Linked DNA regions of Nothobranchius furzeri. The protein of the gene in region 2 purifies or fractionates together with the protein of the main gene of each other region. This does not show direct contact. Links are inferred from orthologs where the notes say so. Each region holds a gene or a part of one and is shown on either strand. Other genes may lie near its edges.

Evidence for each region.
Region 1: the proteins of nploc4 (region 2) and faf2 purify together in Homo sapiens (affinity purification with mass spectrometry; 3 studies listed by BioGRID and IntAct, with this or other methods). This does not show direct contact. The link is inferred for Nothobranchius furzeri from reciprocal best matches to the Homo sapiens genes NPLOC4 and FAF2.
Region 3: the proteins of nploc4 (region 2) and aspscr1 purify together in Homo sapiens (affinity purification with mass spectrometry; 3 studies listed by BioGRID and IntAct, with this or other methods). This does not show direct contact. The link is inferred for Nothobranchius furzeri from reciprocal best matches to the Homo sapiens genes NPLOC4 and ASPSCR1.

What each region holds. Positions count from the first base shown.
Region 1 is NC_091742.1:44,985,362-44,993,062, reverse strand, and holds faf2 (FAS-associated factor 2), read left to right. Parts: upstream 1-19; 5' UTR 20-92; coding exon 93-155; intron 156-1,566; coding exon 1,567-1,635; intron 1,636-1,730; coding exon 1,731-1,865; intron 1,866-2,063; coding exon 2,064-2,140; intron 2,141-2,212; coding exon 2,213-2,351; intron 2,352-2,427; coding exon 2,428-2,513; intron 2,514-3,182; coding exon 3,183-3,274; intron 3,275-4,448; coding exon 4,449-4,626; intron 4,627-4,716; coding exon 4,717-4,888; intron 4,889-4,970; coding exon 4,971-5,114; intron 5,115-5,220; coding exon 5,221-5,403; 3' UTR 5,404-5,625; downstream 5,626-7,701. UniProt on the Homo sapiens protein: Plays an important role in endoplasmic reticulum-associated degradation (ERAD) that mediates ubiquitin-dependent degradation of misfolded endoplasmic reticulum proteins.
Region 2 is NC_091756.1:53,432,339-53,440,533, reverse strand, and holds the start of nploc4 (nuclear protein localization protein 4 homolog), read left to right. Parts: upstream 1-3,298; 5' UTR 3,299-3,433; coding exon 3,434-3,448; intron 3,449-4,012; coding exon 4,013-4,093; intron 4,094-5,786; coding exon 5,787-5,896; intron 5,897-8,195. Other genes in the region: gastrula zinc finger protein XlCGF57.1, read right to left, coding at 264-381. UniProt on the Homo sapiens protein: The ternary complex containing UFD1, VCP and NPLOC4 binds ubiquitinated proteins and is necessary for the export of misfolded proteins from the ER to the cytoplasm, where they are degraded by the proteasome.
Region 3 is NC_091746.1:22,805,360-22,813,454, forward strand, and holds part of aspscr1 (tether containing UBX domain for GLUT4), read right to left. Parts: intron 5,652-8,095; coding exon 5,592-5,651; intron 5,454-5,591; coding exon 5,314-5,453; intron 4,683-5,313; coding exon 4,601-4,682; intron 4,523-4,600; coding exon 4,456-4,522; intron 4,185-4,455; coding exon 4,122-4,184; intron 3,834-4,121; coding exon 3,781-3,833; intron 1-3,780. UniProt on the Homo sapiens protein: Tethering protein that sequesters GLUT4-containing vesicles in the cytoplasm in the absence of insulin. Modulates the amount of GLUT4 that is available at the cell surface. Enhances VCP methylation catalyzed by VCPKMT.

The sequences.
Region 1 (7,701 bases), on a different chromosome or scaffold from region 2:
GTAGGGGGCAGCATCGACAGTAGCGCGTGACAGCGCCACCAGCATAAGGAAAGGACGGTTATTACGCCTTGGTAGATGATTGGTGAGGTAAGATGGCGGCGCCAGAGGAGCCAGACTTATCTCAGGCGCAGACTGAAAAACTCCTCCAATTCCAGGTAGAGGACCCAGAGTTTACGTAAACACAGAAGCCTCGCGTGTCAGTGAGCCAGCTCTGAGCGCGAGTCGCTACGAGGAGGTCGAGTTTCTGGTGTAGGAACTAATTTTTCGCAGTTAACTTCGATAACGCTTCTCCAACGTCAACTTGAGTCATAGCTTGCGTTAGCAGAGGCTAGGCTAGCCAACAAGTTAGCAGACTTTCTTCTTAAAAGATGAACTTTTTTCTCACATTCTTCGCAGAATTGAACCAAATTCAACTTGATCGATAAGAAACGAGCGTGTTTGGCCTCTTGAGTGTTTTAACACGAGGGCTGGTTTCTCTCCACTCAACATTTTGCTAAGTGAACGTTAGCGCTGCTGTCAGTCAGGCTGACACAGAACTTTTGAGCACCTACGGTGTTTTAGCTCTGCTGAATCGGTGTGTTTTTGATGTTTATCTAAAGTTGTACCGTAGTTTGTAATTTGACGGGTCTGTAGTCTGTCAGTCATTGAGCTCATTCACTTTTGAGGTAAATTGTCCCTCAAATCCACGAAAGTTTACTGGAAAATAAACTTAGAAGGCGAGTCCAGTTCTCCTCTTTGGCTAGTACATGTGTATTTGTAGAATATCAGATGCATCCCACAATATATGAGCCCAAATGAGTAAATGGTTCAATTAAAACTTATTGAAAAGGCCTTTTTGCCTTTTTTATTCTACACAAAAACATGTTTTACTGCAGTCAGTGTCAATGTTTGATTCAAAGTCAGGAGAATTGTACACAATAACATCGTTTTACAGTTTAAGTACATTAAAATCAGATGATTGTTGTCCCTGAATGTTTTGTGGCCAGGATTCAGTAGGATTGTTTTCACATTTACATTGACGCATTAGCTGATGTTTATTTGTTTTTAATATTTACATTTTCACGAGTTTCCCTGTTGATGCTTGTGCAGCCTTGTGTCAGCACCTAATCAGATGTGATTACTGTTGAACTCGTTGTTCCAAAGCCTCAGTTTGGCATTAATAGTTGATTAATAGCGTTGATCTGCAAAGGTAATAACGTGTGTGTCTTGCTGAAGATTCACTCCTGGACATGGTGTCTACATTAGCAGCAAATGCCTTCACGAGGCCAGAAAATCAAGCTAACAACAGAAAGTCTGTCGGGACAAGTCTGGATTTTCCAAGTTTAAAACCTAGAAGAAGCCTTGTAGTGCTGCACATCGAGTCCACGCAGAAGATGAGGCCGTGATGATCTCTGTCAGGGTAAACCAGCTGATGCTTTGGGAGAGAGAGTTCTGACCCGAGTTATAGGATCTATTGAGTTTACCGCCAGTCCCACCAGAGGGGAACATGAACGGTTTTAAAGCAGTTCTTCAGCCTGTAGGAGGAACTTTAGATCATCTCTCTGACTTTGTGTTCACGTCTAACAGGACTTAACGGGTCTGGACTCAATGGACCAATGCCGTCGAACGTTAGAGCAGCACAACTGGAACATAGAGGTGCAGCCGCTTCCCTTGGCTTCGTAACGTCTATTCTCATGTGTGGATTCTCTGAGCTGAGCGCCGTGTGTGTGTGTTCTCTACCCTTTTCTCAGGCTGCAGTCCAAGACAGACTCAATGAGCAGGAAGGCGTTCCCAGTGTGTTTAACCCTCCACCCTCCAGGCCGCTGCAGGTCAACACAGCAGACCATAGAGTTTATAGTTACATCGTCTCAAGGCCGCAGCCCAGGGTAGGTCTGTGATGTCATCACTCAGACAGGAAACTGCTTCCTGTCAAAGTACAAATCTACTTAAATTGCTCCTTCTAAAACCATACTCTAGTTCCTCTTCATGTTTTATGGTAACTTAATACCTTTAATTTCAGTTTTTACTTCTTTATGTGTGACTCTGTTTTTGCTCTCGTGACGTCTTCATGCTCTTCCTCTCAGGGTTTGCTAGGATGGGGTTACTACTTGATAATGCTGCCATTCAGATTTACATATTACACACTTCTGGATATATTCAGGTAATCGGAGCACTTTGGTCGTGTGTCATCGTTCTATTCACCAGAGTAATCAGCTGTTTTTGTGTCCTCGAGGTTTGCCCTGCGGTTCATCAGGTCGGATCCTCGTGGGCGCGTGACGGACCCCGTTGGAGACGTCGTGTCTTTCATTCAGAGTTTTGAGGAAAAGTACGGTCAGGCACATCCTGTCTTCTACCAGGGGACATACAGCCAGGTTAGTTCACGTCAGAGGCGTGTCTTATTATGGGATGTTCAGCAGGCTCACCGCCCAGCTTGTTGTGTTGATACAGGCGCTGAATGATGCCAAACGGGAGCTCCGCTACCTTTTAGTGTACCTTCACGGGGACGACCATCAAGACACAGACGAGTTTTGCCGGTATTCCTTTCTGTCCTTAACATATCTCACACCATCGGTACACTAATGAACCGTGTGTGTGCTCATCTGTTCACAGCATATAATCTGATTATTCATACAATAGTTTTAAAGGTGTGGTTCTAATTATAATCGGTCTGAGGTTTTCATGCAGGCTGAACATGAAAAGTTCCTCCACCTATGTCCTGCATTAGCTTCTGACAGATCTAGACGGTGAAAGTCTAGAATTAGAAAAGCCTGACAGATCTACGTCACCATGTCACTAACGTTCATGCACTCACCCGTCTGGAATCACGACGAGGAAGGCTGCTGTTGGTTTAGCGTCCAGGAAACAGCAGAGAACGTGTCGGCTAGTAGAAGCTTACGTTAGCGTTAGCAACTACATCACACAGCAGAACTCCAAGTTTGAGTTGAGTTGCAAAGTGGTAAAGTCGCGTTGCTGTTAGCCAATCAGAGGCGAGATGTCCGAATATCAGGAAGTAAGACTCCAGATCCTGTCGTCTGAAGTTCTCTGATCTGGTCATTCTCTAGATTCTGAAACAGAGTGTGACGTACGAGGCCTTCATTCCTGCTAGAGACCTCTGCAGATGCACTGATTAATGAGTGAACCACACCTTAACTGTTAGATGAGGTGAACATATTCATCCTTTCCTCTGATCTGTGGCTCCTCAGCTCCACGTTATGTACAGAAGAGGTCATAACCTTCCTCAACACACGGATGCTCTTCTGGGCATGTTCCACCAGCAAGCCCGAGGGCTACCGAGGTGTGTATGCCCGTTCATTCGTTCATCTGTTATCAGTGTGACCCCGGCTTTCCACAGCAGCCGTCAGCAGCACGTTACTGCAGCAGCACGTCATAGCTGCTGATAGGAACGGCTGTGGTCAACAGAACCTTTTCCACAGGAGCCGTCAGCAGCTGTCAGCAGCACGAGTCGGCCGCGTCTCAGGAGCAGCATGTCGCGGCCTTTACGCGCCGGTTCTATTTCCTACGCGCGACGCCTCTGAAACGGGTCAAGTTCGACATTTTTGGGGAAGGAAAGACAGGAAATCGGACGCGGAAATGGAGAGAAGCTCCCGAAATTTTCAGAATAAAGAACGTACTGCCTTCCGGTCGCTTTACTTTAAAAAAGGTTACTAACTGTGCGGCCCCGTGAGAAGTTATCACCTAGCTAGCGGTCTCCTTTGTTTTTCAGGTCCGTATCGGCGATTATAAAACGGACAGAATATAAAAACACAAACATTTTGGAGCCATGTTGTAGTTTTCTCCTGCTTGTTGTTGTGTTTACTGACGAAGTCACTCGTGTGACTTCGTGCCCTGTCGGTGACAGCTGCTCCTCTGCTGCGTCGCGTCTCGTGGGAAGGGCCAAGCAGCAGCTAGACGTGCTGCTGCAGTAACGTGCTGCTGACGGCTCCCGTGGAAACCTGGGGTAAGTCTGGCTGCTCTGAAAACAACAAACACTCTGATATCACTGGTAAACAACATGTTGAGACCAGGGCTGGGCAATAAATCCACTCTTACCGAGATAATTGTTCCCGTCTCAGGAATGAGATGAGAACATGAAATATGTGTGTGAGCTGGCAACATTCATGTCCTGTAAGAAGCTGCACCACCTTCAGTGGCATACCAGTGTGACTCAACCTGGAACACGTGACATCTAGTGGACAACTGTTGTTCCTGCACACACCTGTAGTTCTAGTCTGTTCATCGCTAGCGAGGTGAAATCCTCTATATGTCGTGATATTAGTTGTAGGCCATGCCGCCCAGCCCTAGTTCAGACCCATGTGGAGTCCCCAAAGCTAGAAGCTAGTGCTGCTTTTCTGTCCTACAGGGACTCTTCTGTTAGCTTGAGTGGCTACAAAAACATTAAGATCCGTGCAGAAGCGTGGTAATAATGGTAGTCCACTGGGCTTTTGTGTAACAATGGTTTCTATACCAAGTGTCCCAAGCGTTGCGGGAGAACACCTACCCATTCCTGGCCATGATCATGCTAAAGGACCGGAAGATGACCGTGGTGGGTCGGCTCGAGGGTCTGATTCAGCCTGAGGAGCTCATCAATCAGGTCACCTTCATCATGGATGCCAACCAGACATACCTGATGTCAGAGCGCCTTGAGCGGTACGTCAGACCAGCTGGAGTTAGTGAGACCGTCGTCACATTCTCTACAGCTGAAGTAGCAGCGAGTGAAGACTGAAGTGTTGTTTCCAGAGAGGAGAGGAACCAGACCCAGGTGCTGAGGCAGCAGCAGGATGAGGCCTACCTGGCCTCCTTACGCGCCGACCAGGAGAAGGAGAGGAAGAAAAGGGAGGAGCTGGAGCAGAAGAAGCAAGAGGAGGAAAAGGTCCGACAGAGTGCTCTTGCAGAGGAGAGGAGACGAAGAGTGAGTCTGGTCGTCTTCGTTTGTACATGGATACGTTGGTCTTCCCCTACATGTCTGATTCCTGTTGTTGTTTTCACTCCAGACACTAGAAGAGGAGAAGGAGAGGAAGTCGGAGTGCCTTCCTCCAGAACCATCTGCTGATGATCCAGAAAGTGTTAAAATAGTGTTCAAGTTGCCCAACGACACACGAGTAGAGAGGCGGTTCCTGTTCGCTCAGTCTCTGACGGTGAGCGCTGGTGTCTTTGGTCTCCTTCACACGCCTCTGGTCAATGTTTGGTTATTAGACGCTGACATGTGATGAAACATCTACATGTTTCTTCTTCCTTCCACAGGTAATCTACGACTTCCTTTTCTCTTTGAAGGAAACTCCAGAGAAGTTTCAGATCGTGACAAACTTCCCTCGCCGAGTCTTGCCCTGCCTTCCGACTGCAGAGCAGCCCAACCCCCCCACGCTGAAGGAGGCAGGACTCAGTCGCTCCGAGGTCGTTTTTGTTCAGGACCTCACGGACGACTAATAGATGACTTACCTCGTCTACATGGAGACACGTTTATCTCTGACCCACCCATGTTGTTTGGTTTGTTTTGGTAAATGGCCGTTTTACAGAAGGGATGGTTGCTATAGAAACTAACCTGGATCACTAAACCACCCTGCATCCAGTGCTCCTTCACTTGTGTTGACAGGGTTCCCATTAGCCTGCAGTCTTGAATTTTATCAAATAAATATTTCTTGAAGTGGTTCCTTGTGTGGAGAAACTGTTGTTGGTGTTAGCTAACAGTTATCCTCCTCCCAGCAGTGAGACTAAAGCTGCAGCACAACCTCCTCGTCCCACACAAGCTGTCACAACCGAGGAAGACTGGTTGTTAGTTACTCGAGGGGAGTTCCCTGCTGTTTCTCTTGGTTCATGCTTTAGCCCACAACCCCTACAGCGATTATCAAGCACAACTAGCACGGTCCAAGTCTGAAGCAGCTGTGATCGAGAGTTGAAAGGATGGGAACCCTGTTTAAATGAGCCATCACTTGTACATAAGTTAAATATTTAAATGCCCACTATTGTTTTTATTTGACTCGTCATGAAACGACCAAATGCAGGTTTGTTACTATGTAAAGCAGACTGCCTCCAGCTCATGAAGTTAAAACGTACAATATTTAACGAAGGCCACAGCTTTTACATGTGGCTCTATGTAGTTTAGTCTGCCCATAGTGTGCCTGTGGTTACTCATAGATGCCTGTTTTGCCTGTAATATCTGAATGGGCTCATGTAAAGATGTAATTTTCCAACTATAAATTAAACATGTTTTAAAAATGTGGGTTTATTGAATATAAAAGCAGCTTTTTTCTTGATTCGTTTTGAGAACTTGTCTTTAAATCAGCCACTGGTCCGAGTAGCGAGTATACATCATACATTTATTAGTGAACAACCCTCTCCAGTCAGCCACAACAATTAAAAAATGATTGCACTACTTGGTAAAGCATAACTAGCAACTTTCATTTAAAAAAAGTACAAATCTTAAAAATTTCAGACAGTATACAGATGTATACAGAATACACCAACTAGTGTTAAATGCTACAAACAAAACGATTCCAATGGAATGAAGAAATGATGACATCATTTCCTATATAATATATATTAGTTGTTTTCTCCCTCCACCCACGGGTACAAACATGGAAAACAAAAACAATGAGGTAACTGTAAATGTGCAAGTACCAAAGCAAACATCTGCCTAACCGCACACACGCCCCTGGCTCTGGTGGTGGGGCTAGGCTGGCTCTCCGGAGGGGACCCACCATCCCACCACTGCTAAACAACACAAACCAGATCATTGGTAAACAATAAATGGTGTCTACACAGCAAATGATCACAAACCCTACATAAACTAGCTGCTTATTGGAAAACATCTGTGCACCACAAGCTGGGATTACTCTTACTGTCGTTAAAATGAGCTTGTTGCCTAGCCTTTAATGGGAGGTTCCTTTAGTTTTATATGATACTGTCAATTAAATATCTCCTTTAAAAAGAACAGTGCTAACATTGTGATACCTATATGTGAACAATACATTTTAGTTATTCATACACAGAGCCCGACAGGCAGATACATTACTACACTGAAATAAGTATGACAACACTTTGATTCTTTTTTTCTTCTTTTCTTTTAATCCCTTAAACTAGAATAACTTTCACCGACATCGTTTAGGGGTATTGGTACAACATGCTTTAAGAATACATAAGTCCATGACAAACTATTGCATTCACGCGCGTGAGTTTCATACCTAAAAGCGACACCTAGCACCTTGTCACTATGGCTTTTTGAGAAGACTACAGTAGTTTCAGAGCGTGTACTCGTTCAGTCATCAGGGCAATAACAGTAAGTTCCTGCTCTCCGGACCTTTTCTTACCCCCCCTCGCTATAAAATGAACGTAGCGCATAAAATCTTGTAGTCATTCAGTTCTATTACAAATGTGTGCAGTACAATGCATGGCAGTTATCAGCTGAGCGTTAGGATCCAAACCTCCAGAACCCAAAGCCGACTAGAGCTAAAGGAATAAAAAAGAACAGTTGGGGTCCGGTTAACAAGCATGCATATTGTGCACCTTTAAATAGGTCCCCACCAGACTGAGATAATCCTCCACTAGAACACATTTGTTTTACTTTTATTTCTCTGTAATAAGTCATGCAAACACCTGTGAAGTGGGTCTAGGAGTGAATCGGGAGGAAGGAGTGCACCGTGGCACGTTTAGATACGGGACCACAACTGAACATGTGGGTTTGAGTACAAGAACAGAAGTAAACAGGTCTGGATAACACGGTAATGA
Region 2 (8,195 bases):
CTACTGTGTGCGCTGATAATGATCTGGGGCGACACTTGCTGCTTTTCCTAGCTGTCAACAAGTTATTGTAGGTGTTAAAGATTGGACGAATGTTAAAGAATAAAAAATCGAGCATTTATGAACTATTTATATTAAAATAAACGACAAAGACGAGCTCTTGTTTATCTGAATGCTTCTCTTAGCATCGTTAAGCTAAGCTAACAGTTAGCTGTTTTCTTCTCTTACTTCTCTTAAAGACTCATTAAATCTGTGATTTTACCCACCAGATGTTTGCTTTATAAGAACATCCTTCTGCTGAGGAGCAACGACAGAATTAATGTCTTGTTTCTTCTCTAGAAGTTGACTTTCAGAGGTGTTGCGTTGAAGATCTACTTCTTTCATGATGTTGGACACTAAAACAATCTGCGTCGTTAAATACGATCTGTGCCTAAATCCATCACTGCCGATCACCCCACACCGTGAATATTTATAGCAGGTTGTTTGTTTTGAAAACTGGAAAAAGTGCAACTGCTTGTCCTTTTTTAAAATTCATTTTAACAACTAGACCGTGTGTACGTGGCTCTGTTACATTTTGATCAGGCATCTGCTCAGACGCACACTTGGATTGCCTTTGTGGTGACTCACTGCTGCCATCTACTGGAGACAACCCATCAGTAGGGTCTTTGTCAAGACTGAACTGGAAACGGGTAAAACAAGAAGCACAACATCAGTCTTTCAGACCCTTACAAAGTCTGAGGAACTAACAACCCATACTTCTGGCTCCTGCGGAGGAAAACATTTTTATTTTAATTGAATTGTTTTGATTATTATTATTAAAATACTACCACACATACAGAGAACATACCCTCAATCCCACATGCACAAATAAAATTAAAAACACAGCTATTTGAAATCAATGTTAAATGTTTTAATTTTGTTTATGCTGTGCATGTACTTACTTCAGAATGTCAGTAAATATTCTAACATAGAGAATTTTAAGGACTGTTGCTTTTTTTAAAACTCTCTAATATGTTGATTAAACAAAGATAACACTTTAACTCATTTGAAAATGATGGTAATGAGGTTTTCCATAAAATCAAACTTTATTTGATTTGGCTGTTTATGAGATCAGTTCTCCAACTTTCCTGCTACAGAGCAGGCAACTAGAACTGGAGGCCTCAACACCTGGCTTTATTTGCATAGCATCTTTCAAGGTAAAAACCACAAAGCACTTCACATATAAAAAAATAAAAAATATATAACATAGTCAGGTACAAGAAAAAAAGCTTGTCATCAAAGTAAACCACATAGGTTACATAGTGCATGCAAGCACATTTCTGCTGAATATTGTCATCTTTGATCACTCAGAATAAAGGGGGATCACCTTAAAATTTAAATGTCATTTAAAGGAGCCAGATTGTGCTATTTTATGCCTTTGAGAGCAAAGGTAAGCTCAATATATGATCAAATATTATTGAGATGTAATTTATCTTAAATATGAGGGGGGTTTTTTTTTGTTCGCCTGAATATATACCCGGAACTGAAACGGTCTGTTTCAGTGAAGCTCCGCCTATGCTCGCTCTGACAAAATGGACCTAGAGTCTTCTGTTGACTTAGTAGTCCAGCGATTAAAGTGACCAGGCAGGTACTCTAGCCACTGGACTACAAGGATGTTACATAGCATTGGTTGCCTAAGACACATAGCCTGTGCTGGCCATTACGCGCATCTTTGTGGACAGGACCAAGACCATGAAACCAGACGGGAGATTTGGGAAATGACAGTGAACAGCACAGAGTATAGAGAAGAACATGGCGGAGAAAATGCTGTAACAATAAAGACTCAAGGGTTAAAGCTGCTCAGGGTGAGAGTCTGTGATGTTCCTCAGAGTCATCTCTCTCTCTGTGTCACAACTGTTGCTCATAAGCAGGTTCACCAGTAACTGGACAGGTTGGTGCTAAAGAACCTTCTATAACAAGCCAAACTCTTTTAAAACCAGTTGAAATCATTTAATTTAAGCCTTGATGATTTATTCTGAGAAAAGTGAGAACTTTAAGATTCGATCTGACTTTTATCAGTGCACGTCCTCAGAGCACGATAACAAGCCACCACTGCAAGTGTTTCAACCACGCCTGTCACGTTCTTTGAGATTTATCAGTTTGTAAAAAAAAATTGTAATTACTTTGACTACAAATCAGATGTTGGCACTTTGCATATATGTCACCCCAAATCTCAGCGTACCATATGGCAAGATTTATGGTTGTTCTTTCTGCAAGAAGGATTTGAAGCTTGCTAAACTTACAGGCATTTTTCCTCTGCTCTAGTTTGTGTCTGGTTCGATTAAGTCAATTTAGTGATGCACATTAGTTCTACATGTGTTTTCATACAAAACATAAAACAATGCTGGGTGTGTATAAGCAAATGCTCCCCAATGTAAAACACCCAAGAGTGCTATCACCAGATATAACAATATTATCAACTGTGTATGATTAGTCTTTGTTAGAATCTTCTGGTGCTGATGATCCGTAACTGCAACAACCATGAAACTCACGAGACAGTAGTAAGATAGTGATTGCGGTAACCAATTTTGACCACAGTATTTCATCTTACTATCTTCTTCCATAAATGGTTCAAATGCTTAACACCTTAGATTAGAAGATCACCTCTTTTTGACTGCGCTGTTTCTAATAAGTTTTGATTTGCTAATATGGAGTGGCTGAGTCTAAATATTCCTAACCTTCAGAATTTATTTGTTAACATGTTCTGTTGTTACTGACTTGCAAGTTAATATTTCGGATATGATGAATATGATTTTCCATCTGGGAAAATACCACATTCATTGCTGTAAATGGAGAGACATTGTACTGTGTTTCAACGTTTTTAACCAGTTTTTACTGTGTACTATGGGTTAATTACTAATTGCCCAATCAGTGTTTCTGTATCTTTTTGTTAAAATATTTTGGTGCTCATTTTCCTACACGTATGCATTTCACATAACCTTTCTGATAAGTCCTGTCTGTTTTAAGTTTTACTGTTTTACCACCCAAACTATTTGTTGCATGCTGCAAAATGTTATTACGTGCAACTTGAAATGATGTGCGTTTTTGATTGCTGTCCTCCTTCTTACTTTCCGCTCTCTTTCACAGTTTCCAATTGAATCCAAATACAATTAAATTCACTGCCTGTGAATGACTAAACTAAACAGAAAATATTTAGAATAAAAATCACTGGACAGATTGAATTAATGGTTGTCGAAAAAAAGACACAAATTGGAACCCATGTTTTCAGGCTCACTTGTTTCAGCCGGGGTGAACTGTCGGACACTATAGTGTGCTACACCGGTGTTAGAGTTCTGTGATGGAGTTTCGCTGACAGTCAGCCAGTAACGCTTCGTGACTTTTGTAGTTTTTGTCTATCAGCACAAGGACGTACACCAGTGACTTTCAGTTAGGCGACATGGCGGATAATATAGTAAGTATAATAGTTTGTGGTGTTAATGGTGCTAACGGCAGCTAGCCGGAGTCCTGCGGGATGAGGCAGCAGAATTAGCTTTGTTAGCTAACGTTAGCACAGAGTGACTGCGGCCTGTGCAGATAACTGGCCGAGCTTAGCTCCTTCTTACGATATCCTGATTAAAACAGGTCTGCTGTAAACCTTAAAGCCTTTTGAGCCTAGATGTTTCAATAATAAATTAAATGAGTGAATAAGTATTTTATCGTCTGCTCATTATATGAGTGTTATTGTAATTTTAGAGATACATAATCAGTTGGCTGTATACAAACCAACAAAAAGTATCAGATAAGTTTAATCTCCGTGTTATAGATTTAAAATACTTTCTAATAAACTCAGTCGTATAACCAAGCTTTAACGCTACCTTTTTCATTGTCCTTGTCATCTGAGAGGGACAAAAGTTGGAGAAATGTAAATGTTTTGATTCACTGATTTTCATTCCGAAACTCTGGGACATCCTGGTTTTATGATTAGCTGAAACTCAGACAAAAGTTTAACTTAAGCCTTATTTATTTATTTTTTTAGATAGTCAGGATTCAGTCCCCAGATGGGATGAAGAAAATTGCTTCCACCAAGAGAGAAACGGCAGCTGCCTTTCTAAAGAAGGTAAACAAGTTAACATACACATAATTTTCATTGGTGTTTACGTGTGTAGTGTTTTGTTGTTAGTGGCAAAATGGAAACAAACTAGATTTTAATCACAATTGTCTTTATACAGTATAAATAAGTGGATAAATATTTGGTAACCGATTTTCAATTGGCTAACTTTTTTTTTACTGGATAAAATGTTCTTGCTAAATGACATAATCTGACCAAATCACTGTTTTTGCAAACACATAATGTCAGTAAGTCCCATGACATTGGTTGGTAAATGGTAAATGGCCTGATATTTGATATAGGGCTTTCTAGAGTCCTGGAACCCCCCAAGATGCTTTACAAAAAAATTAGTCATTCACCCATTCACACACACATTCACACTTACATTGTAGCCACAGCTGCCCTGGGGCACACTGACAGAGGCAAATCTGCCATACAGATGCCACCGGTCCCTCCGAACACCACCAACAGGCAAGGTTGGTTGAGTGATTGCCCAAGGACACAACAACAGCGTCAGACTGAGCAGGGCTCGAATCTACAACCTATGCTTATTCATTTCATTTGGATTCAGTGGATATAAGATTTTGCAGCACAAAAACACAAGTCAAAATGAATAAACAAGCATGCTACGCTTTTTTAAACAATCACTTAGTAATTATTGCTGGCAAACATTTGGAATTTTACCAAACACGTGAGTTACAGGCAAGCCTGTAATCTCACACACACACACACACACACACACACACACACACACACACACACACACACACACACACACACACACACACACAAACACAGACTAAGATAAATTGACTAAAGATATGCAGAGAGTACCAGAGCAGGTCTGTCCTGCACAGCTCCTGTGAGCTTTCATGGCTTCCGGGTATTGACAAAAGGCTTGTGGGGAAATTTCCATTCAGGGAATCCAGTTGATGCTAGACAGGGCAGGTTTAATTTGGGGTTTAATTTACTAGTGCTGACATTTCACACAGTTTAAGACCGATTGACATATTTGGTAACTACCACAACTTGGCCTTTAATTTTCTTCTGGTTTTATTTAGTTATCTGATTGACTTAAGCACCCACAATAATAAGAGTTTAATTAAAAGCGTTGGCTTTGAAAGCCTGAAATAGATCAGAATTCCAGCAGCGTTGCAGCACTATCTAATTAAAAATGCATGCTACTGTGTTGCCGCAGGAGAGTGTAGTTTTCAGATCAATGGGAGGAGCAGATCTTTGTCCCTGATCAGTGGAAAAGAAAAACACAAGTGTGTGTGTGTTGGGAGGGGGGGGGGGGGGCTTATATGGTTTGGGCACTGAAGGTTAGCTGTTGAAAGAGATGATGAATGGGATTTATTTAAACATAGTGGCGTCAACAGCCTCTTGTGATTTTTGTCCATCCTGATCTCAAAGATTTATTTTATTTATTTATTTTTTTACAATATGCTAGTTAAGATGTTATCCAGATAGATTTCCTAAATGATGGGATGTTATTAGGATGCAGGACCTCCAACCTGCTCAGTGTACTCATCAGTTGTTGCAAACCAGCTGGACACCTCAAAAACTTTTGATTAATCTGCTTTGAGTGATCTGTAGCAATCACAAGCAGCCTTCACTCAGCAGGTGTCTAGAACAGACTATTAAATACATTAACCAACTTTAAGGTTTTACAACGGTATGTGATCATTTATGTCTCCTACAGGTGGCCAAAGAGTTTGGATTCAGTTCCAATGGGTTCTCTGTTTATCTAAACCGCAACAAGACCGGAGAGATTGTGTCTCAGAACAAAACCCTCAGTCTGCTAAAGATCAAGTGAGTTAAACTGGAAATCATAAGGGTTTGAATTTCAGCATTCAGTTGTGCCACATCTGTGGAAAACAACACATTTTTACATGGAAAGTAAATTCATAAATGCACGTTTTACTAAAAACATTGCAGTTTTTATTTTAAACGACAACACCCTGATTTCAAAAGTGATTTCCTACAACCATATACTAACCATTTAGGCGCCAGAGTTTTTTCAGGAAGCTGTTCAATTTTGACATGACTTTTTCAAAAGGTTGTAGCTCGGAAATGGTTAGAGATAAAGGTAAACTGTAAATGAGAGACATTTTCAGTAGGACCAAAATTCACTCTTCTAATTTGCATAATATGACGTCATCGGGCTGCCGTATTGGAATGCATCATTTTTACAGATGTTCCTTCTTATTTTTTCATGGTATTTAGAAAATGTCATATTTTGAATTTTTCAATTTATATATACATATATGAATTTCTTTGAAATTTAAATTTCATTGTTTATCTTTTATATATATATATATATATATATATATATATATATATATATATATATAACGTCAAACCCAACGTTTGGAATTTGTAAGTGTAGCACTAGCTGTTCAGCAGCGTCAATCTTTGCGGCTGGATGAGTGAATTTCTTCATCAGAGTCGATATTCTGCTTCATAATCGGACTCAGTCATGACCAGACAAAGATATCAGTCAACAAAGACCAGACTTGCCGGAAATCACAAGTTTTATCCCTCTAACATTCACCCTCTTTGTGCACTCGTCTTCTCCCCAACCGGTAACCTCTTAGCGGGAGGCAGTTTTCAAACCCTATAAACTCTGAAACTTTCAGTATAAACACACTCATAAATATAGCTCAGCCTGAAGTTGCATATCTCCACTATCTTCTGGTGTAAGTAATAATTTCATGAGGGATTGTATTTGTAGCTGTGGATCGTTAAAGTCAGTAATGACACTTGTCGCAGTATTGCAACTTTGGCGCTTAAAGGTGTAGGAGAAACTGGTTTGTCTCAGCCATATTTGTAGCGTTATGGTTTTAGGCTCTTTTATGAAAGAGGAACCATGCTACGTATTAATTCGGATTATTAATTTTAATAAATCAATAACCAAATTTTATATTGTTATGAAGACTCAAAGGTTGTTTTCATCGATAAACTGACGATAATATCTGTGTGTCTGTGTTTCAGTTCAATGAGGAAACCAGTTTGACAATTAAAAGTTTTAATTCTTCAAATTAAACTAATGATTTTGAAATTGACAAACAGGAAATAACAATCAACATTGGCAACTTGTGGGACAATCTTTAACAGTTGATATGATCAAATAGACCTTGTGGTGAATTTATGAAGATTGAGAATGTTGTGATATGAATGCGTGTGTGAGTCTGATTTTGCTTCAGGAAGAACAGGTGTCTGAGTGAAGTGATGGTTTGGATAAACTTAGGTCTTATCAGAGAACTGCATCAAACGCTAAACACCGTGCTCTGTCTCACCGAACTCTTGTGGACCCTCTTTCGGATCCGGGCCGTGGAGGATGGTGGTGGTTCATCCAGATGACACCAGCGGCTGACAGGGGAGACGTAGGTGTCGAACGGAACCGGTCCAGAGTTGCCCTCGGTACATGTTGATGGTAAAGCGTTTTGTCGATGCGTTTTCTTAAGTTAATTCACTCAGAAATCAAAGACACTGTATGAGTCTGCGTTAGAAGTTGCGATTCAGCTGTCCTGTCTGGTTAACAGGAACAGCGTGAGGGGGGGGGGGGAGAAACGAGCCAACCGGCTCCCCCCTTTTAGCGTTTATTCAGGTCCTCTCTCTTTCGTTGTCAAGCACGAACTGAAATCAAGACTGAAACTTACCAAAAACCTTTCTCTTCTCAAAGCAAATGTGTGCGTCAGCAAATGTGTTTGGAGTTTACTGTGAGAATCTGTGTGTGGGTGTGTGTGAGTGTTTGTGTGCTTGAGTGTGTGTGAAGGTCAGTAACAAACATCCTCAAACATTATTTAAGTATGGATTCATTAATCCATTATAATTACCCAAAGCATAAGAACCATTCATTTGATTAAAACACAGTTATAATGAGCAAATTGATGATTACTTTAACATTAAAATCAAGAAACCAAGTTTTAAGACTTGTTATGTTATGACTACTTTTATGGGAACAACATCTTCTGTGGGAACAACATCTTCTGGCACGAAGCTGCAGGTGGCAGATGTTATGGTTTCCTCCCAGACTCGCTGGCGTTCAGGTCTTAATCTGTGGATGAAAGTTCTCAACGACCCAGCTTTGACCCAGCTGAGTCCAACA
Region 3 (8,095 bases), on a different chromosome or scaffold from region 2:
AAGTAAATCAACTTTGTCCTGATATTGTCATTTTATGATCGGCACCTGTTTGTGTAATTCAGAGTGAAAGATTAGAAAGTAGCTTTATAGTCCTGTTCAGGGACCCATGAGCCGGAAGGGGAGAAACCTTAGACTCACGGTAACTCCAACGTTACTGCGCTGACCGACCTAATGGCCCCCTACTGATGAGCCACCACAATGCTGGCATAAAAATCACAAAGATATTGAAATATCGATCTAGAAATGCTGGCTATTAGTGATTTAAAGCAACACTAAAGAGATTCGACCACTTAAGCTATTGCTTTGAAAGTGGATTTCAGTGATTGTTGGGCTAGTGGCCTGAGCAGCTTCACATGGGACAGCACTCTGCTGCCCTCTGCTGACCAGAAACTGTACTTAACAGTTTAGTGGTTTGGGTGAGAACACTAGTTGGAGGTCTCCATCTGCTTTATGCCAATAGCTGTTTACTGAGCTGGTAGCTCATATAAAGGCTAGCTTTTTTAGTTCACCGACCATCAATCAAAAGCACTGCAGCGTGGCCGAGGCCATGTATTTCTGCATGTGCTAACAACTGCGCCACTGCATGGTGGCGCAGTTGTTAGCACTGCTGCCTCGCAGCACGAAGGTTGCAGGTTCGAAACTCGGCTACAGCCTTTCTGCATGGAGTTGCGTGTTCTCCTCATGCATGCGTGGGTTTCCTCCGGGTACTCCGGTTTCCCCCACAGATCACAACATGGCCTACAGGTTATAAATTGTAAGTCGCTTTGGATAAAATTGTCTGCCAAATAAATAAACGTAAACATTTCAATAAAAGGTACCTTTCTGCAATGACACAGGGTGTGTCAAGCTGACACCAGGAGGTGTCGATTATGAATATCACTTAACTTGTCCAGTGGCCTTATCTACAAGACTTTTATCCAACACCGTTTAATAAAAGCTATCGTATATTTGTCTCGTGAAATGATTCTTTAGTTTACAGCTTAAAAACAAGGCCACTGGACAAGTTAAGATATATTTATAATCAACACCTCCTGGTGTCAGGTTGACATCGAAATACATGACCTCGGCCACGCTACAGCACGATGAGAGGAAGGATTTAGTTTTTTTTAGTTGGCATCATGGTGGAACCTGGAAGTAAAAGTGAGAAAGTAATGTCTGTGGAGGTGAAGCAAAGAGCTGAAACCAGAACGAAGATTGGCGCAGCCTAGTTTTAGGGAGCTAAAGGAGGCTACGACATCACAAACTGATGGTGACCTGGCTTTGTTGCTACTGGACTTGTAGGTAATAATATATGTGGACGTATTTACTTTGTGGTTTATTTAGTATAAGTTGGCTCATGTTAGCGTTAGCAACAGCAGGGTTGTTTATGACAGTTGTAATTCCACTTTCAACCAGTAGGAAGGAGAAGCAGGAAGCTCTTCTGCGTCAAGTCGTTTTAGAACAATCTGCAGCACAAACAGGCCGGTTGTTGCTGGGGTCAGATGAGTTTACACCACAACCTGTCTCACGCTCGCCATCCTCACTCTGTCCTTTTGTGTAGCTGGATGCTAAATGGGGACGCAGCAGCCTAATTGCTATCAACGTAGCTCTGTGAGCAGGAAACAACGTGCTACAGTGGAACATCGGGAATGCCAGCAATCCTGTTCCCTCTGGCTGCAGAACTCCGGATAAGACGAGCTGATGAGACCAGAGTGTGTGTGCGTGTGTGTGTGAGAGAGGGAGAAAGAGTGTGTGTAGAAACACACAAGTAAAAAGAGAAAGAGGCTGAACAGATCCTGGTGGAAGATGGAGGGGCAGACGGGTGAGGGAGGGGACGCTGGTATCAAAGACTTCTGGATTGGGAAACATTCCTTTCCTGACATGACACAAAGTGATTAAAGTTAGTGTGTTTGTGTGCGCCTAAAAGAAAGACATATGCAGCCATGTATGCGTGACATGACAAGAGAGAGAAGATGAAAGGTTCCTCGTGTGTTCCATGTTAAAATTTGAGGTATAGACAACAAAATAGTGCCAGACAGTTTGTGAGTGTTTGAAGTGACACTGCGGGATTATGGATTTTGTTTTTGTGCACGTTAACGCTTTCAGGTCTCTGATGGATGGAGACACGGGGGTGAGAGGAGGGGGAGGCACAGGACAGAGACATCATCTGGGTGCTGCAGGCGAAGGACGCTCAAAAAGATGGAGTTGGGGAGAAGGAGAGGGAGAGGTAAAAGAAGACGGGACGATGAAGAACAAAGAAAGATGAGAAACATTCATCAGAACGTCTGATTGGACCGAAACGAACACCGACGCAGACGTTTGAACGTGTGCTGTTATGGTCTCCAGGGTTGTTATCCTCTGAGGACTCAATCTCTTCATCATCATCATCATCATGACACAAACCCCAACCCCACTTTTCAGGTCCAGATTCAAAGGAGGATGATGACAAACACGTTCCTTTGTTCTTAAAAAACACAACAACTATAAAACCTTAAAGAAACAGTTTTATTACTAAGTTTCACTGGCTGTGTGTGTGTGTGTGTGTGCGCGTGTGTGTGTGTACTTCAAAGCGAGGACATGTTTTTGGTCCTCACTTCTTTAGTATGTTTTAGAGGTCTAGTGTGAATGAAGTTTTAGTTAAAGAGACAATATGTAGTTTTTACTAAATCATTTCTGGATTCAAAATGTGCTGAAAAAGAATGAAATGATGCCCAGTTGTTGAAAAATATTGGCAGTTTTGTGACATATAACCATAAAAATCAGGTCTAAAATACATGGGAGTGGGTCTGTTCTACGGGAGCCCATGAGGACAAAGTGTATTTACTGATTTGTAACAAACGATTACAACCTGTTGTTGTTTTACACATTCATCTCTTCACCTGTTACCACTGATGAAAGTGTCCGATGTGCTCGTTATTTTGCTGAAGTTAGCACTCCCTGGGGCTTTTTGACCCTAATGGGCATCCCTTGGTAAGGTCTTACTCCGACAAAAAATTTCTGCTTGCTTGCAACGATTTAGGCATCTACCTCCCTTATCGCCAGGGAAAATACTCCGTCACTTTAAGGTTAGGGTACGGGTTAGGCATGGTGGAGTCACAAAAATGAACAGAAGTCAATGGATGGTCCTCACTATGACAAAAATACATGTGTGTGTGTGCATGCGTGTGTGTGTGTGTGTGCATGTCTCCTCTTCAAAGCACACCCTCCCCCTGCCGGCTCCACTGTCCTTGACCCCAGCTGGGCTTGATTTTTCCCAGACTGGCACATGGGGTTAATACAGGCATCGCTTTGATCTTCTCTCTTTTTCACACACACACACACACACACACACACACACACACACACATACAGACACACACACACTCACACAGACACAGTCACACACACACACACACAGACACAGTCACACACACACACACACACACACACACACACACACACACACACACACACACACACACACACACGTATTTATATGTTTGTGTGGACCTCCATTGACTTCCATTCATTTTAGTGACTCCACTCTGCCTCACCCTAAGTTAAACTTAATACACACCAGATCTCTAAAACCAGCTGGTAAGCTTTTAAAAAAGCGACGACCAGAAAAATATCCTCATTTTGTAGGGAAAACAGTCCTCAGTATGTAGTATGTACAAGACACACACACACACACACACACACACACAAACAAAGAAACAAACAAACAAACAAACAAACAAACAAACACACATACACACACACACCTGATGGTTTTCTTGCATTCTGAAATAATAATGATCACCTGAGTCCCCAGAGACTCACCTGTAGGAGCGTTGCTGCAGGATCATTTAGGATCACTTTAGGGGGGGTGATGACTGTAAAAAGAAATAAATACTCAGAAGACGATCCTTACTTGACCTAATGACAAAAGGTTAAACCTGAAAGTTAATCTTCATTTTCATCTTAATCCATGTTTCGGTCATCGTTTGATCAACGTTTACTTCCTTTAGAAGTGGATTTGTTGGTTGAATGAAGAATAATAAAATTAAATATGAAGCATAGTGGAAAAAGTGGCAACATTAAAGTGAATCTGATAGGAGCACTGGTGTTTGAGACTTGTAATGCGATGGATGGCAGGAACTTCAGCAAGACAGAACACTTACACAGGTAAAAACTGACTCTAGGATCCTCCAGGTGACTCCTCACAAACTGTTTCACCACACCAACTGGGCAGAAGACAGAGAAAATCAGCTGGAGCATTACAAACCACACCAAGCCTCCGACGCTCGCCGTGCCGACTGTAGATCACGTTTCAGAAGGAATTCCCCTCTAATTTGTTGTTCTGATGCCTCTAATCCCTGGAATTATAGACTCGTCTGCTTCTCTCGGTCTCCGTCACTCCGCTGCAGTCATGAATGTGGTGAAGAGCCACGAGAATGTTCCACATTGCAGCCATACCTGTGGCTAGCCAGGTGAAATGAACACACAAACACACACCTGTCTCAAGAGGCCTGAAGAAGCCCTGCAGAACATGTCTGTCAGGAAACTGGACCCTCAGGACCACCTGGAGAAGCAGAGGTTATTTATAGAGCGGAGTGGTTTAGATGAAAGGAATGTGATTGTGTCTGAAAACAGAACTCACTTTCGGATATCGCTCGATCTTCTCTTTCATCCGAGTCTCTCTCATGGATTTAGTCATGAGTGGCGTCTCCTCTAATGACTTCCTAAAGAAACGAGAGACAAACAAACAGGTTCAAATGTCGTTTGTTTGTTTGTGAGAGGATGAGCGGCGCTGGATCTCCTGCCTCGCTCGTGTGTGGCCATGTATTCGTGTTGCGCTTGTCAGAGGCAGACAGATTGCTGTGGTCGGCTTCATTCCAGCCTCAGTAATTGCAGTCATTGACATGGTAGCAGCGTCGCTAAGAGGCAGCCTGCTAAGTTAATGTTGACAGAGATTAAAGGCTGAGCGTGATGAGGTCCCAACCTGACAGAGTTCAGTCAAAGACTAGAAGATCTGCACAAAACAGTCCAGCTAATTGTTCCCAGTGTGCAGCCTGTGGAAGCCTTTGTAGTGTGTGTGGTGTTTCATAAAAAGCATGAATACAAACACACAGAGCAATCTTACATGCATCTGCTTTAAAGAAGCACACATAATTAGATGAAAGCTTCAAACTAATAATAAATAAAGAACCAGCAGTGATGCCTGGCGTACTCCCATCACCGCTTTGGTATTCAACAATTAAAGGTTAAATATTCACTAAACACAGCAGGACGGCACGCGAAGCTGAGAAAGAATCAGATTCAAACTGAGAAGAACCACACGACGACTTTTAAAACAAACTTCAATCCAGCCACCTCTCGCTCTTCAGCTGGGCAAAGCGCTTTCGCACGTCATCCACCGTCACTTCAAAGAACTCGTCAGGCAGATCTTGGTTGACCTCGGTGTGACGGGACGAGGAGTCCAGGTGATAGATCAGAGGCTCCCTCTCAATTGGCTGTAGACAGAAAGTGTGTCTACGTTAATGTGCTACACTCAAACACCACAGTTATGGAAAGCGGTGATTATTGACATGTTTCTGATCAAGAGAAGCTAACAAACACAGCAGTTTCTGAGGAGATCTGAACAAGTTTACCTCCAAATATTCCTCCATGTGGTCCATTTCCTTATCTTGTATGATAGCAGCTCCTATAAACTGAAAAAAAAGACACATCATTGATTAATTTGGCCAAGGAGGACGCGTTACATAAGAGTAGAATAATGTCTGTGAACCATAACGTACGAGTAACATAATGTCTGTGAAGCATAACGTACAAGTATCACAATGTCTGCGACGCGTTACATAAGAGTTGCGTAATGTCTGCGAAGTGTGATGTAAGAGTAACGTAATGTCTGCGACGGCGTTACATAAGAGTAGCATAATGTCTGCAAAGTGTAATGTAAGAAAATTGTAATGTCTGTGACGCGTTACATAAGAGTAGTATAATGTCTGCGAAGTGTAACGTAAGAGTAACGTAATGTCTGCGACGCGTTACATAAGAGTAGCATAATGTCTGCAAAGCATAATGTAAAAGCATTGTAATGTCTGCGACGCATTACATAAGAGTAGCATAATGTCTGCAAAGCATAACATACGAGTATTGTAATGTCGCTGACGCGTTACATAAGAGTAGCGTAATGTCTGCAAAGTGTCATGCAAAAGTATCATAATGTCTGCAACGCATTACATAAGAGTAGTATAATGTCTGCGAAGTGTAATGTAAGAGGAACGTAATGTCTGCGAAGCATAACGTGTAAGTATCACAATGTCTGTGACGCATTACATAAGGGTAGCCTAATGTCTGCGAAACATAACCTACAAGTATCACAATGTCTGCGATGCGTTACGTAAGAGGAACATAATGTCTGCGAAACATAACGTACGAGTATCGTAATGTCTGCGACGCGTTACATAAGACGAACGTAATGTCTGACATATTACATAAGAGTAGCATAATGTCTGCGAAGCATAACGTACGAGTATCGTAATGTCTGCGACGCGTTACGTAAGATGAACGTAATGTCTGCGAAGAAATAACGTACGAGTATCATAATGTCTGCGACGGGTTACATAAAAGTAGTATAATGTCTTTGAAGTGTAATGTAAGAGTATCGTAATGTCTGTGACGCTTTACATAAGAGTAGTGTAATGTCTGCGACGCGTTACATAAGAGTAGCATAATGTCTGCGAAGCATAACCTACAAGTATCACAATGTCTGTGACGCGTTGCGTAAGAGGAACGCAATGTCTGCGAAACATAACGTATGAGTATCGTAATGTCTTGCGACGCATTACATAAGACGAACGTAATGTCTGATGTATTACATAAGAGTAGCATAATGTCTGCAAAGCATAACGTACGAGTATCGTAATGTCTGCGACGCGTTACATAAGACGAACGTAATGTCTGTGACGTATTACATAAGAGTAGCATAATGTCTGCGAAGCAAGGCAGAAGCGCCTTGTGATTTTTATCTTGAGAGGCGCTATAGAAATGAAACTTTCTTCTTCTTCATAACGTACGAGTATCGTAATGTCTGCAACGCGTTACATAAGAGTAGTATAATATCTGTGAAGTGTAAAGTAAGAGTAACGTAATGTCTGTGACGCGTTACATAAGAGTAGCATAATGTCTGTGATGCGTTACATAAGAGGAACGTAATGTCTGTGATGCATTACATAAGAGGAACGTAATGTCTGCGAAGCATAACGTACAAGTATCGTAATGTGTGTGACGCGTTACATAAGAGTAGCATAATGTCTGCGAAACATAACGTAAAAGTAACGTAATGTCTGTGACGCGTTACATAAGAGTGGCGTAATGTCTGTGACGCGTTACATAAGAATAGCGTAATGTCTGACGCGTTACATAAGAGGAACGTTATGTCTGAGAAGCATAACGTACAAGTATCGTAATGTGTGTGATGCGTTACATAAGAGTAGCGTAATGTCTGTGATGCGTTACATTAGAGTAGTATAATGTCTGCGAAGTGTAACGTAAGAGTAACGTAATGTCTGACGCGTTACATAAGAGGAACGAAATGTCTGAGAAGAATAACGTACAAATATCGTAATGTGTGTGACGCGTTACATAAGAGGAGCATAATGTCTGCGAAGTGTAATGTAAGAGTAACGACATGTTACACTGTAATGCTCCCATTGGAAAAGGAGCTTGCGAGTAAAATGCGTCCATTACGTTACACGCCGTCTGTGCGTCCAGTAGCAAGGCCAGGTGAGGCCAGCCTCATCTAGGACCACAGCCATCCGGCTGTGTACCATGCCTCCATCTGACAGACGTTTCAGGAGTCGAACTTGCTGGTCATCTAGACCTGTGATTCCCAACCAGGGGTACGCATACCCCTAGTGGTCCATGAGAGCGCATTACAAGGAGCACGCGGAAAATTAACCAAATGATGACAGCACTTGCTGTGCCCTGGTAAAAACAAACATTGTGTTGGGATGTGTTATGCTTAATGAATATTCAAATAAGGTTCTGATGTCATTCTATCAATTATCTTTTTAGGCCAACCGCGACATGCATGAACTGCATGAATTTTGTCAAGCTGCGTCCGCCTGGAGAGGCTGCTGCAGTATGGAGC